Callithrix jacchus: one gene and its partners. The protein of the gene in region 3 interacts with the protein of the main gene of each other region in a pairwise test. Links are inferred from orthologs where the notes say so. Each region holds a gene or a part of one and is shown on either strand. Other genes may lie near its edges.

What was found.
Region 1: the proteins of CEP44 (region 3) and TXLNA interact in binary tests that used the Homo sapiens proteins (3 or more experiments, as listed by UniProt). The two-hybrid records come from large-scale screens. The link is inferred for Callithrix jacchus from reciprocal best matches to the Homo sapiens genes CEP44 and TXLNA.
Region 2: the proteins of CEP44 (region 3) and H2AP interact in binary tests that used the Homo sapiens proteins (3 or more experiments, as listed by UniProt). The two-hybrid records come from large-scale screens. The link is inferred for Callithrix jacchus from reciprocal best matches to the Homo sapiens genes CEP44 and H2AP.

The regions. Positions count from the first base shown.
Region 1 is NC_133508.1:68,784,369-68,789,899, reverse strand, and holds the start of TXLNA (alpha-taxilin), read right to left. Parts: upstream 3,486-5,531; 5' UTR 3,419-3,485; intron 2,884-3,418; 5' UTR 2,852-2,883; coding exon 2,683-2,851; intron 1,611-2,682; coding exon 1,284-1,610; intron 1-1,283. UniProt on the Homo sapiens protein: May be involved in intracellular vesicle traffic and potentially in calcium-dependent exocytosis in neuroendocrine cells.
Region 2 is NC_133524.1:38,777,060-38,781,121, reverse strand, and holds H2AP (huntingtin-interacting protein M), read right to left. Parts: upstream 1,722-4,062; 5' UTR 1,661-1,721; coding exon 1,307-1,660; 3' UTR 1,186-1,306; downstream 1-1,185.
Region 3 is NC_133504.1:16,816,584-16,821,649, forward strand, and holds part of CEP44 (centrosomal protein of 44 kDa), read right to left. Parts: intron 2,598-5,066; coding exon 2,427-2,597; intron 1,480-2,426; coding exon 1,273-1,479; intron 547-1,272; coding exon 480-546; intron 1-479. UniProt on the Homo sapiens protein: Centriole-enriched microtubule-binding protein involved in centriole biogenesis. In collaboration with CEP295 and POC1B, is required for the centriole-to-centrosome conversion by ensuring the formation of bona fide centriole wall.

The DNA.
Region 1 (5,531 bases), on a different chromosome or scaffold from region 3:
AAAACTGCCTGCTTTACCAACAGATGAAGTGTGTCCCACTTATGATTTCAGGGCTACTGTTTCAATGCAAGGAAGGCCCACCCTCTTGATAGAGGTAGGATCCAAAAAGGAGTAAGTATCTTAGCCTCCTTGAGAAACACTAAACTCTTATCAACAGAGTAGACAAACCTCGAATTTTAAAATGAAGATACTTTCCATATATGTGATCCTAAGATTTTTTTTTTTTTTTGAGATGGAGTCTCACCCTGTTACCTAGGCTGGAGTTCAATGGCAGGATCTCGGCTCACTGCAACCTCTGCCTCCCGGGTTCAAGCCATTATCCTGCCTCAGCCTCCCAAGTAGCTGGGATTACAGGCGTGCATTACCATGCCCAGCTACTTTTTGTATTTTTAGTAGAGATGGGGTTTCATCATGTTGGCCAGGCTGGTCTTGAACTCCTGACCCTCAGGTGATCCACCCATCTTGGCCTTCTAAAGTGCTGCTATTACAGGCGTGAGCCACCATGCCTGACCTAAATTCTTAAAACATATATACCTTACCATCAAATGACTGTCACTGCCTATTTCCCACTCTGTGTGCCTGAGTCAGGGAGCCTTCCCTCTGCCTCCCCAGAAGGGCCCAAGAGATCAGCACAGAGACTGCAATTCACTGGCATGCATGCCAAATCCAACCCACGGATGGGTTTTGTTTGGCTCCTACCATTTTAGCTGCTAACTATGAAAAAATCTAGAGATCTAGATTTCTGGCTTTTCTTAAAAAAAAAAAAAAAAAAAAAAAAAAAGGCTGGCTGCTGCCTAGTTAAGAGCAACTAACTAAATAGCAATAAAGCCTTTGGCTAAAGTAGGCTCTATCTTCATGGAGCCCCATAGGCAGCCCAGCTTATGTAGACATTTGGGTTTCCAACTCTGGGCTAGTCTGATTTTCTTACTGTAAACAGAAGTAGAAACTAGGACCCAGAGAGGAGAAGGGGCACACCCAAGGTCACAAGGCAGGTAGTACTGGCTGGCACAGGAGGCTACCCGGACCTCCTGCTCTCCATTGTCTCAAAGAGCAGGTCACACATCAACCTCCCGTTGCTCCAAAAGCCAGAAGACCTTGTGCTGGAAACCCCTGCATCTTTCTATGTGTGACTCCCACATCCCTGGCTTTGATTAGACTAGGGTGACTTGCTGCTCTGAGAAGTACCATTTCCTCTGAATCCTGGCAGAACAGACTTGCCCAGAGAACATCAAGTCCAAATTCCCTCCCCTCACCAGCTGCACAAAGAGCCACTCTCTGCTCACCCAAACCCTTGGCTTTTTTCTTCTCCTGTGGCCTTCGGTGGTCTCGGTCTCCCACATCATCACTCGGCCGGATCTCTTCTGTGCCTGGCTCCCCCTTGGAGGGTACCTTTTCTCCATTGACTACTGGAGATGGCTCAGGCTCCCCATTCCTTGCCACATAGGTCCGGGACTTCTCTGCATCTTCCGGCTCACCCTGTGCCCCATCCTCGCCTGGGCCCCCCTGGTTATTGTCCACACAGTATGTGCTCAGTATGTCTTCCAATTGGCGGCTCAGCTCCTCAGAGACATCACGGAGGGCCCCAGATTGAGCTGTTTTGGCTTGTGCCCCTAAAGCAGGAAAGAATGAGAAAGAAGACAGCAAATCTAGTTCCTGTCAGAATTTAGATTCAAAACTTTTTTTTTTTTTTTCCAGATGGAGTCTCACTCTGTCACCCAGGCTGGAGTGCAATGATGCAATCTCAGTTCACTGCAACCTCTGCCTCCCAGGTTCAAGCGATTCTCCTGACTCAGTCTCCCGAGTAGCTGAGATTATAGGCATGCACTACCACACCTAGCTAATTGTTGTATTTTTAGTAGAGACAGGGTTTCTCCAACATGGAGGTCAGGCTGGTCTCAAACTCCTGACCTCAGGTGATTCACCTGCCTTGGCCTCCCAAAGTGCTGGGATTACAGGCGTGAGCCACCATGTCCAGCCTCGAAACATCTTTTAAAAGAAATTATAGTCATCGTTGCTTAACTTTTTTTTTTTTTAAGATGAGGTTTCACCGTATAGGTCATGCTGGTCTTGAGCTCCTGACCTCAGGTGAACTGCCCGTCTCAGCCTCCCAAAGTGTTAGGATTACAGGTGTGAGCCACTGTGCCCGGCAACTTTTTTTTTTTTCTTGCCAGACTCAGGTAATGGATGCTCAACCTCTTTAAGTCTATTTACTTGTAAAATGACACAACTATTTCTTACTATCACCCGAACATGTTGGTTACAAACATAAAAGTATGTAAAGCATCAGCACACAGGGCTGGCATGAAGCAACTTCTAGTCCATCTCCTTCCCCCCTCACCAACCACTTCTTGCCATTCAGATTGTTCTAGAAATGCCTCAATCCAGGAAGGGCAGTTAGCTGTTGGTGGCTGAGGTGTTTCTAACAGGACCTGGATTTCCTGACTGGGTGCCTCGTTTGGCTGCCACCTGACTTAATCCTGTCAGAGCTTCTCTCCAGAGAAGAGAACTCTGTTCCTGTGCTCACCAACTCGCCAGGGCGCCGGAAGGACCGCGGCCCCAGCACTGCCCTCTCATTCTACATCTCCTCCTCTGCACAACCTGGCCTCGGCCTCTAAATCCAGAAGTGAGGCCAGGCGCACAGCTCCTCCCCCTGCCCGCTGGCAATGCAGAGCTGGCACACACCCTCCGGCTTCCGAGGAGCCTGCCCGCTGCCGGGACCTTCAGCTTCTGCCGCAGGAGCCGCCTGGCTGGGCCGCTCCTGGGTTCCCTCGGGTACCGCTTCCGGTTGTCCCGGGCTGCTTTTTGGGTTGGATTGTTTGGCAGCCCCGTTCTTTTTGTCTTGGTTCTTCATTGTGATGAGCGATGCTGGGTCAGAAGGAGATCCTTTAGAAACAAACACAGTTGCAATTTTTCAGACTTCGAAATTCTTCGCAGTCTGGATCAGAAATCCCCACAGCAGGCGCCCAAAGCTTCTTAAACGGACCGGCCGGCCCCGGCGGAGGGCGCCAACGGCTCTCCGGTCTTGGCGGGTCAGGGGAGCCCGGTGTGCCGTAGCAGGCTTTCGCAGCGCAACGGAAGAGGAAAGAGGCCTCTTTTTCTTCTCGGAGCCACTTCCCAGCACAACCAACCCCCTCACGGCAGGCCGAGAGCGGGATTGGCTCGGGGCCGGAGACTGACGTGGCGGGGCGCAGGAGTCGCGGCGCCGCCCCCGCCCCTCAGGACCCACGTGCGCCCCCCGCGCGCGCAGCCACCCACGCCCCGCGCGCCCTCCAGCCGCGAGGCACGCCCGCGCATGCGCACACGCCCTAGACAGCCCCCCGGCCCACGCGCGGAGTCGCCGTGATTTCCCCACAGGCCGAGAACATCCCGGCCCGTACACCCTCCGATTGTCTCTCCCACCGGTCGCCGCGGCACGCACCTCACAACCGACGTCCGACGGCTTCTCCAGCTCTGGCCTCCACCGGAAACCCCGAGTAACCACTGCCGGCGAGCAGCCTGCACCCGCCGCAGCCAATCAATAGCCGGCGCCGGCGCGGAGCTTGCTGGGAAGGACGAAGCGAGGGCGGCCTTGGAGGCGGGCGGGACCTGAGGGCGGGGCAGCGAAAGGACTACGCGTCCCTCTGTGCGCTGGGGCTGGCAGCAGCTCCCAAAGTGCAGACGGGGCAGTAGTTCTGGGAGTCCAAAAAGAGCCCGTCATTCCGCGCAAATGCCCAGGTCAACCTTGTTTCTATCTCGCAGAAGTTATGCCTCAGCTCCTAAAGCCTTGCGCCTAGCATTGTTTCCTGCAGGCCTCCGTCAAGCCTTCTTCCCTGGCCTTGAACAAATGTGACTCCATCCAGGAATTCCGACGAATCGGGAAGAGGGATAGAGTCCTGGGATGAGGCCCAGGAGACCCCTACTCCAGTCCCAGCTTCATCATGGATTTGCTGTGGCTCCCTGGGCCTTAATGTCCTTCTTCCCAAGGAGGTGTTTAATAACAATAATTTCCTTGAGCGCTTACTGTGTGCTTTCCGGTATCTAATAGCTTCATTCTCATAAGCACTCATTGAAGTAAGTACTGTTAGCGCCATTTTACGGAAAAGGACAGTAAAGAGAAAGGCTGGGTAACTTCTCCAAGGTTACATCGATAGTGAGTGGTTAAAACGGATTCAGAATTGTTAACTCTGACACCAGCACCCAGGTAACTTCTCGGCTTCCCTTTTTCTTTTTTTTTGAGACGGAGTTTCACTCTTGTTACCCAGGCTGGAGTGCAATGGCGCGATCTCGGTTCACCGCAACCTCCGCCTTCTAGGTTCAAGCAATTCTCCTGCCTCAGCCTCCCGAGTAGCTGGGACAACAGGCGCGCCCCACCATGCCCAGCTAATTTTTGTATTTTTAGTAGAGACGGGGTTTCACCATGTTGACCAGGATGGTCTCGATCTCTTGACCTCGTGATCCACCCGCCTTGACCTCCCAAAGTGCTGGGTTTATAGGCGTGAGCCACCACTCCCGGCCTACCTTGTCTTTTACCCAGAAGAAACACCACCACAGCAGGTTTTCCAGAGGCAGTCAAGGTAACTTGTGAACATAGGTCATATTTTCCCCTCTCCTTTACCATTTGGCAGTCAATTCCTCAGGAAGGTGCTGAGTTAAGGCTTCAGGCATATTCTAGAGCCTTTTCTCTGACTGCCCCACTGTCTACTAAAGTCTCACTGGGTTTAAAGTAGAAAAAAAACACAATTCTCTACACGTGAGATCAGAAATTCTGTATCCCCGTTGCCTCTGGATAATGAAATCAAACCCAACAATCTTTGTGCCTGGAATTTGAAGCATAAGAGGTTTGGCTTTTGTCAAACTTAAAATCTTTTGAGGCCCAGTTCAAAGGTCACTGCAGAGCCTTCCCAGTGCTCTGCAATCTGTACTTGCTCCCTAGGTCTGCAGAGTTCTGTTACAGCATTAGCAGTGAGGTGTTGAAATTAATATTTGCTTACAAGTCAGTGAATTTTGCAAGAACTGTTGGTGAAATATTCTAGTCCCAGAGCCTAGCATCAGGCTGTGGGTAGAGAAGATTGTAAATTGTTGTACTAATTGAGCATTGGTTTAGGGCTGTTAGGATATTAAATATTTCCCCCAAAGGCTCAGTGACAGACTTAAAAGCAGTGCATTTTGGATTTTCAGATTAGGGATGCTTAACCGGTAAAATCTGAGAAAATCCCAAATTCGAAACACTTCTGGTCCGACGTATGTTGGATAAGGGATATTCAACTTTAGTATAATGATGGAACTAAGGCTCAAAAAGGTTTAGAATCCAGGTGTCCTGAAACCAAGGCCCTTATTATTTCTAGAAAAGCATTCTGGAAATTTCTTGAGGAAGCACCATATAAATCAGGCCTTGATAGGTTTCCATATAAACAGGGTGTTCTAGGCCAGGTGCAGTGGCTCACATCTGTAATCCCAGCACTTTGGGAGGCTGAGGCAGGCGGATCACCTGAGATCAGGAGTTGGAGACTAGTCCAACCAACATGGAGAAACCCCATCTCTTACTAAAAATA
Region 2 (4,062 bases), on a different chromosome or scaffold from region 3:
GCTCAGAGGGAGGAAATGAAGGTCCAGTATCATCACATGGCCAAAAAGTGGCGAACTGGGATCTGAAACCAGGCACTCAGCTCCCGTTTTTGAAACCGGCTGGGCAGCCCCTGACCAACCATCTGTGAAACACCAGCAGGCAGCAGACTGTGGCCCCAGAGGACCCAAGGACCAGGTGAAAACCTAACATGTGGACAACCATGGGCAAGGGGACATATGGCTTCAACACCTGATGTGACACCTTTTTTAAACTTAGCACAGAGCAGGAAGTTTTGAGAAGGATTGCCTGTGCTTTAGAGGCCATTGCTTGGGACAGAATTATATCTATACCTCTTTAAACCTCTATTCGGTCACTGATAATTCTTTGGTGTTCTATGCAATATATGGTCATTACAATGAATAGGTATTTAATTTAAAAATGAGATTGTTAATCCTGCTTTAAATGAAATACATTTATAACTAAGCAGATTAATCAATAATTAACACCCGTTAAAATCTTCTTGAATTGCCCATTTTATGCCAGATCATAGGTTCTATGTAATCTTACGATTTAGTTTACCAGTGTCCTGAAGAGAGGACAGAAAGATATATTCACAGCAGTAGCTACGAATCCCTGCCTGAAGTCCTCTTTCATAATGAGGGAGGGTATAAAGAAATAAGAAATGCAATCCAGCAGGCCATCATTTCTTTTATGCATTTTTCGTGATGGTTTTTCCTTCACTCCTCAATGTCTATGTAAAGCCCCTGTCCCATTAAGTTCATGCCAGCCAGTGTGCCCCCTCTCCATCCACCTCTGTGACCGCCGCCATCTGACTTCAGACCTTTGCTATCCTGAATGAAGCCTCCAGCACCTCAGTCAGAGATTGCAGCTCCACCCCAGGCCCCAGCATCAGGCTGGGAATTCAACAAGCCTCAGAGGTCCCCAGCCAACCCCCTGGCCTCACAAGGCCTTCCTGTTCCAAGGCAATGAGGAAGTCTCTGTGTCTACCCCAGCCAGTTCCTCCCCAAAAGGCCAGTGACCTCATAGTCACTATTGGAGACTGCCCCCTCTAAAATCATTAATTCAAAACTCCCCACACTGGCCACCCCTACACCCCTTCAGCTCTCTAGGAATAGCTTCTCCTAGATGTCTCACAAACACCTCCAACCCAAAGTGACGGAAACTAAGTGGAGTCAGAAACATACTCACGGATTTACATCCTTTAATAGCACTTGTTGATGACAACAGCAGGGATTCCTCAGCTATGATATGTTTTTGCCCTGGTTAAGCCTGAGAGGATCCCTTCCAGGCTTTGGAACTCGGTCTTCAGCCATTCTTCTCGGATTTGGGCATCCCATCCAACAGAAAGCAGGTTATATCGCTCTCGAGGCAGTGGGGCTCACGGTTGTTGTCCACTTCTCTCTCCGCATCTTGTGAAGTGTTGTTCATACTGTCATTGTGGCTGGCCTCCAGGCCTACCTGCTCCATGATGAAGTCACCAAGGCAATCGAGCAAGGTAAGGAGGCTATTTATCATGGAGGAAGTCTGGCTTTGGGCATCTCGTTCATCCTGAAGAAGGCGGTCAACGAAGGTCCTAGGGACCTGTGGCTCATTTCTTGAAGGTTCTTGATTCTGATTGTTATTTGTAGGGGAGTTCTTACAGTTTTCTGTTTCTGACATTATGTTTGCTTGGTCTGGCTCTGCTGAGCTATGCTTGATTCTCCTGCTTGAGCAGGTCTCCAAGGACACTGGCACTTAGTCCTGCCCATTGTATCTCTCTGCTCCAGGCCCTGATTGGTCAGGGAGCTAGCTGCCTTTGTGACATCCTAGACTTTGGAATTTCCCTGAGCAGACCTCAGCCTAGAAATGTCTGTGACACTGACCTAGTCACCCTAATGACTGAATCCTGATTTTGAGAGAACTATAACTTTTTATCTGATTTTGACATTGTAAAAATAAATGTGTGTTTCAGTGGAAAACTTTGCTCTATCTTTAGGACATCATTGCAAATTATCTGATTCTAGCCTTACATTATCTCTGAAATCTTGCATAGGTTTTTGTTACTTGTAGGCCACAGATACATGGATGATATATTCTTCAGTAGAGGTTCAGTTGTCCTTCACCTAATGAAACCAATTTTACCTCCATTTACACACAATCATTTAATATTCCTGATGAATATTCCCATATCAATTCTTTGGTTTCCCTTTTGAACCTGTTATAATAACCTTTTCTTTTAGTATATGTTCATTTCATATCTGTATGAGTGTCATGATTTTACTCTATTTGAAAAATATTTTTTAATCATTTTGCAATTAATAATAAGATGCTCAATACCTGTCAGTGCCAGGTAAACATAGTTGATGGAGAAGTGCATCTTGTGCTCAGTTTAAGCCCAGATGTGTATTTCTTGTCTCTCCTAGGTGAAGCCAAAGCACTAAGAGTTGTTTCTTTTCTATTATTTAATTTTACTCTCTGCTAATTCTGTGTTTTCCCTTTGAGTTTTGTTCATTTACAGCCAATAACTTTGCCATTTCACAAGGGAAATAGTGGAAAGAAAATAGTCTCAAATCCAAACAATTTCAAAATCTAACCATTAGGTTTCAAGGCCTGGGAATAGTCTACAGCTTGAGACCCCTCCCTCTGATCACTCTGATCCTGTAACTTCACCTGGGGGAATAAATCTTCCCTCTGGTCTCTTGGTTCTGCCCTCAGTCATTTTTCCTTTATTTTGAATGGTAGCATGTGTTTACAGCCGAGTAGTTTTATCAGCCTGCTTTCTCCTGTCAAATTTTGGGAGTCCTATAGCCTTCTTTCATTTCTTGCTCTATTTCTTTCTTTCAGTCTAAGCTGGCATTGTTTCTGCTGATATAACATTCTCAAAAACTTACATGTGTTTTATGTATGTCATGAGGATTCATGCCATTAGACAGAGTCTTCTTCACAGATCTCTCAGAAAATTCCGTCTCTATTCCTTGCATATTTGAGAAGCACACCCCATATCTCTTCAAAACATCATCTGTGTGATTGAATACTTTGGTCTTTTCATCCCTTAAAGGCACTAACAAAAGAATGGCTAGCCATGCCTTTGATTTTATTTCTGTAGGATGATTTCATGGCAGTGAATTCACTAATTTTGGTGTCTTTTGCAATCTGGATAGGCTGAAAATTTCTTATATCATTAAATCCTGGTTTCTTTTTGCTTAACAGTTCTTCCCTCACTTTATGTCTTTCCTCTAGCATTTTACTATAAGCAGCAGTAAAAAACAACAACAACAACAACAACAACAACAACAACAACAACCAGGCCATTACTTTAGTCCTTTGCATGAAAATCTGCTCAGCTAAATATTCAAGTTCATTGCTTACAAGTCATGCTTTCCACATAATTATAGGGCATAATTCAGCTAAGATTTCTGCTGCTGTATAACACAAACTCCCTTTTCCAATATTATGTTACTAATTTCTTTCTAAGCCTTCACCAGCAACACCTTTAACATTTATATTTCTATCAATAGCTTGTTTACGATCATTTAGGTGTTCTCTAGGATAACATAGGCATTCTCTACTGTGCTCCTCATATCTGAGCTCTCACTAGGAGTGCTTTGAATATTCCTATTTCTACTAATGGTCTGCTCAACGTAATCTAGAGTTGTTCTATAATGCTCCTGAAATTTATTCAGTCCATAGATATTTTCCCATTGCAAAGCCCCTTCAAACTTTTTAGATATTTGTTATAGCAGCAACCCACTTCCAGGGACCAAAATTGTAATAGATCCCGATGGCTGCTATAATGAATTGCCATAAACTTGGTAGCTTTAAAATGCAGAACACACCAAGTTAAAAAGCTCCTGCATAGCAAAGGAAACAATCAACAAAGTGAAGAGCCAACCTACCGAGCGGGAGAAAATATTTGCAAACTATTGATCTGACAGGGGATTAATAACCAGACTATATAAGGAGTTCAAATACCTCTATAGGAAAAAAATCTAACGATCTGATTTAAAAACAGGTAGACTACCTCATAGACATTTCTCAAAAGAAGACATACAAATGGCAAACAGGCATATGAAAAGGTGCTG
Region 3 (5,066 bases):
AAAAGACCTGTCCTAAATTAGATCTTTCTCATTTTCTCATTATCAGTGAACTATTCACATGTAAGAAGTTTGCAATACTTTATAGGTTACTGACAAAGGTGTTTTCTTCTCTTCCATATTATTATTTGCATATGAGAAAGCTACTACCTACCTAAGCTTAAATTTTAAAAGTTGGAGGCCAATTTTAATATTCTAGAGCACTAGATTATTCTAAAATGATTGAGACAATAAAATATCTCTAAAATTTTTCAATTTTGTACACTAAAATTTATTCACCCACTCTATTAAGTGAAATAAGTAGGCTGGATTCTTAAGCAATTCTTGGCTTTGGAGGTATGCAGGTTCATTATTTTCTTTGTTCTAAGAGCTTTGCAATTTCTAAACAATAAGGATTAAGAATATTAAAATTACCAAATACCTATAATAATTATTTTTCTGAAAACTCATTATAGAAATTCTAATAGTATTTACAAACTTACGAGGATTCAGAAGATTCATGTTGCTACAAGAAGTGTAGTCTTCGCTAATTTCATTAAACTCATCACTCTGAAATAACAGTTAAATATTTAGAATGAAGCCAAAGGAAAACCCCTCATTTTATATTCTTAATACCAAGCATAAAATATAAAGATAGCATAATAAATGTTTAAATATTTTTAATTTCTGTATTTATAAAGCAATACATATACTGTATGTTCCACATATAAGAAATGTTTTAAATATAAAAGCAGACAGCAAGCTTCTTGAATCTATCAACTTTACTTTCTAAGAAGGAAAGACAGACCAGAAATTGAAATCCTGAGAAAAAGAAACAAATTCCTCAGATTTGATAAGGCAATGGTAAATTTCGTAACTTGTCTATGAAATTCACAATATGATTGAAGTAAATGAGAGAAAAAAAGAAAAAAGTTATCAATATCTTCTGTATCTTTTCTACTCTATGAAAATAGGTCATCTGTACTATTAAAAGATATAAAATAATATTAGGCTTTTCATAAAATCTATCATATTCTTCCCTTATTTTAAGTTCTTCAAGTATTATTATTATCTGTAAAAGTTCAACTTACAAGTTTTTCAGATTACCTTATTCAATGAAGAGAGAAATAGCCACAATAACATACAGGCTATATTTAAACAGGAATTCATTCTAACTAGGCATTTACTCATCACTGAAATATTCTCATACTTAGCATTCCCCCAATAACGTACATATAACAAAGAAATACTTTGTTATACCTGAGATATTTTATACATGTTAAAGGAAGAAAATACCTTTTTAGACAAAAGCATTTCTGTTTCAAGAAGAGTAACACGACTAAGGAGATTCGTCCATGTCTTTTCATCCACCATCACTTTTCCTTTCATTTTTTGTTCCAAACAGTCTAACCTTTTCTCTATCAAAGTTAGTTTCTTAAGATTTTCTTGGCATTCAGCAAGCATAGTCTGTAGTGCAGTAATCTCAGGATTAACACTTATATCCTAAAAAGGTTAGAGAGATTAAAAATAAAATTATACAAACTGAATTTCCTTTAAAATTAATGTATTCCCACTTCCACTGTGTTATCTCAATAGTTAGGAGAGACAGTCCTGTGCTTGAGAGTCAAGAGGGTTAGCTCTGGATGGAGACTACTTGGCCACTTAAACTAGTTCTGAAAATTTATGACCTTGATGCCTCCATTTCCTCATCTTAAAAAAAAAGAAACAGAGAGGTAAGAGCAGTATCTACTTCATATGATTCTTGTGATGAATTAATTTGCATAATTCTCTTAATACCAGGTAATAAAACTATTATTAACTAGCTTCTTGAAACAACACCTAGCACAAAGCTAAGAAGAAATGACCAAAAACAACACTTAGTGAATTGAGATTGTTCAGTTTTCCATATAACAGGAAGTAGGTCCAATGGCCATCTGGCAGTTTCTGTAAGTGACAACTATATATTGATATACTGAGATCTATAGAAGTCACAAGACATCGAAGCATAGAAAAAGAAGTTTTAGCAGGAACATTAGAGATCAGACATATATTGAGGTCTGTGGCAATCAAGAGTAATAGAAATGGCACCTTAAGAGAGGCAGAAAAGAATAGCCAGGACCCAGAAAGGAAAACGAATAGGCAATAAAGTGCCAATCTTTTCCATTCACCAGTAAAGAAAATAGGTGGTAAAGAAAATGTCTCACTAAATTGTAGATTCCTTAAAGCCAAGTACCATATATTATTCTACTTTGCATTACTCCAACACTTAGCCCAGCACCCTAAACATATCCAGCAAATAATTATTTTTAGTAAGACTTACTAAGTAATTGTAACATAGGTAAAATATCATGATTAATAATTCAAAAGGCTAGAAATATTCCAAAGTTTAGAGGCTAGAAATATTTAAGTAAGAAATATTCGTATCTATTTAAAAAGTCCGAAATTGTTACCTGTCGCTCAGCCTCGATTTCAGGAACCTTTATTTCAGGCATCTTTATTTCGGCAGCATTTAAGTCAGACGCAGTAACTGCTTCATTAACCTCTGTTACTGCACTTAACGTATCCTCCGGAATGTTAACATTATCTTCAATATACAAGTGACGAATCACCACAGCTTTTTTCTGCATAGGCAAAAATATGCAGGAAATACTTCAATGTTTTCCTCCCACAATTTTTATTTTTTTAAACTTTTAAGTTCAGGGGTACATGTGCAAGTTTGTTTCACAAGTAAATTTGTGTCAAGAGGGTTTGTTATGCAGATTATTTCATCACCCAGGTATTAAGCTTAGTACTCATTAGTTATTTTTCCTGAACTCCCTCCTACCCTCCACCCTCTGAAAGGCCCCAATATGTGTTGTTTCCCTCCATATGTCCATGGGTTCTCATTATTTCGCTCCCACTTATAAGTGAGAACAAGCAGTATTTGGTTTTCTGTTTCTGCATTAGTTTGCTAAGGATAAGAACCTCTAGTTCCATCCATGTCCCTGCGAAGGACATGATCTCATTAATTTTTATGGCTATAGAGTATTCCACAGTGTGTATGTACCACATCTTCTTTATCTGCTCTATCATTGATGGGCATTTAGGTTGATTCGATGTCTCTGCTATTGCATTTATGTTTGCTATTTTGAATAGTGCTGCAATGAACATATGCATACATGTGTCTTTACAACAGAACAATTTATATTCTCTTGAGTATATACCAAGTAATCAGACTGATGGGTCAAATGGTATTTCTGTCTTTAGGTCTTTGAGGACTTGCCATATTATCTTCCACAGTAGTTGAACTAACTTACACTCCCACCAACAGCGTATAACTTTTCCTTTTTCTCCACAACCTCACAAGCATCTGTTGTTGTTTTTTTGACTTTTTAATCATAGTCATTGTGAGAAGCATGAGATAGTATCTCATTGCGGTTGTGATTTGCATTTTTCTAATGATCAGTGATGTTGGGCTTTTTTCCATATGATTATTGGCTACATGTATGCCTTCTTTTGAGAAGTATATGTTCATATCCTTTTTCCACTTTTTAATGAGGTTGTTTTTTTCTTATAAATTTGCTTAAATTCTTTATAGATGCTGGACATTAGGCCTTTGTCAGATATAAGTTTGCAAAAATTTTCTCCCACTTTGGAGGGTGTCTGTTTACTTGGCTGACAGTTTCTTTTGCTGTGTAGAAGCTTTTTAGTTTAATTAAATCCCATTTGCTAACTTTTGCTTTTGTTGGAATTGCCTTTGGCATCTTCATCAAGAAATCATTGCCTATGCCTATGTCCTGAGTGGTATTGCCTAGGTTGTCTTCCAGAGTTTTTATAGTTTTGGGTTTTATACTTATATCTTTAATCCATCTTGAGTCGATTTTTGTATATGGTGTAAGGAAAGGGTCTAGTTTCAATCTTCTGTATATGACTAGCCAGTTATCCCAGCACCATTTATTAAATAGGGAAACCTTTCCCCATTGTTTGTTTTCATCGGATTTGTTGAAGATCAGATAGTTGCAGGTGTGCGGTCTTATTTCTGGGTTCTCTATTCTCTTCCATTGGTCTATGAGTCTGTTTTTGTACTATGCTGTTTTGGTTACTGTAGCCCTGTAGTATAGTTTGAAGTTGGGTAGCATGATGCCTCTAGCTTTGTTCTTTCTCCCTAGGATTGTCTTGGCTATTCGGGCTCTTTTTGGTTTCATATAAATTTTACAATAGTTTTCTTTAGTTCTGTGAAGAATGTCAACGATAGTTTAATGGTAATAGGAGTGAATCTATAAATTGCTTTGGGCAGTATGGTCATTTTAGCAATACCGATTCTTCCTACCCATGAGCATAAAATGTTTTTCCATGTGTTTGTTTCATCGCTGATTTCTTTGAGCAATGTTTGATAGTTCCTGTAGAGATCTTCCACCTCCCTTGTTAGCTATATTTCTAGGTATTTTATTCTTTTTGTGGCAATTGTGAATGGGAGTTTGTGATTAGTTTTCGACTTGACTATTGTTGGTGTATAAAAATGTTAGCAATTTTTACACATTAATTTTGTATTCTGAGATTTTACTGAAGTTCCTTATCAGCTTAAGAAGCTTTTGGGCTGAGAAGATCCTCCCACGATTATTTTAAACATACTCACAGTAACTTTGCAGAAGTAACACCAATCTTTAATGATTTTTAAAAGTTTAAATTGTCATATATAATGTATATATCCAAACATTACAATTACTACTCCAAATTATGTGATGATAAAATTAGAGTTATGACTTAACACAATTCTTACCTTTTAGAAAAAACACTTAAATATTTATTAAATTATGTCTGAGATTTGTTTTTTTTTTTTTTTTTTTTTTTTTGAGATGGAGTTTTGCTCTTGTTACCCAGGCTGGAGTGCCATGGCGCGATCTCAGCTCACCGCAACCTCCGCCTCCTGGGTTCAGGCAATTCTTCTGCCTCAGCCTCCTAAGTAGCTGGGATTACAGGCATGCGCCACCATGCCCAGCTAATTTTTTGTATTTTTAGTAGAGATGGGGTTTCACCATGTTGACCAGGATGGTCTCGATCTCTTGACCTCGTGATCCACCCGCCTCAGCCTCCCAAAGTGCTGGAATTAC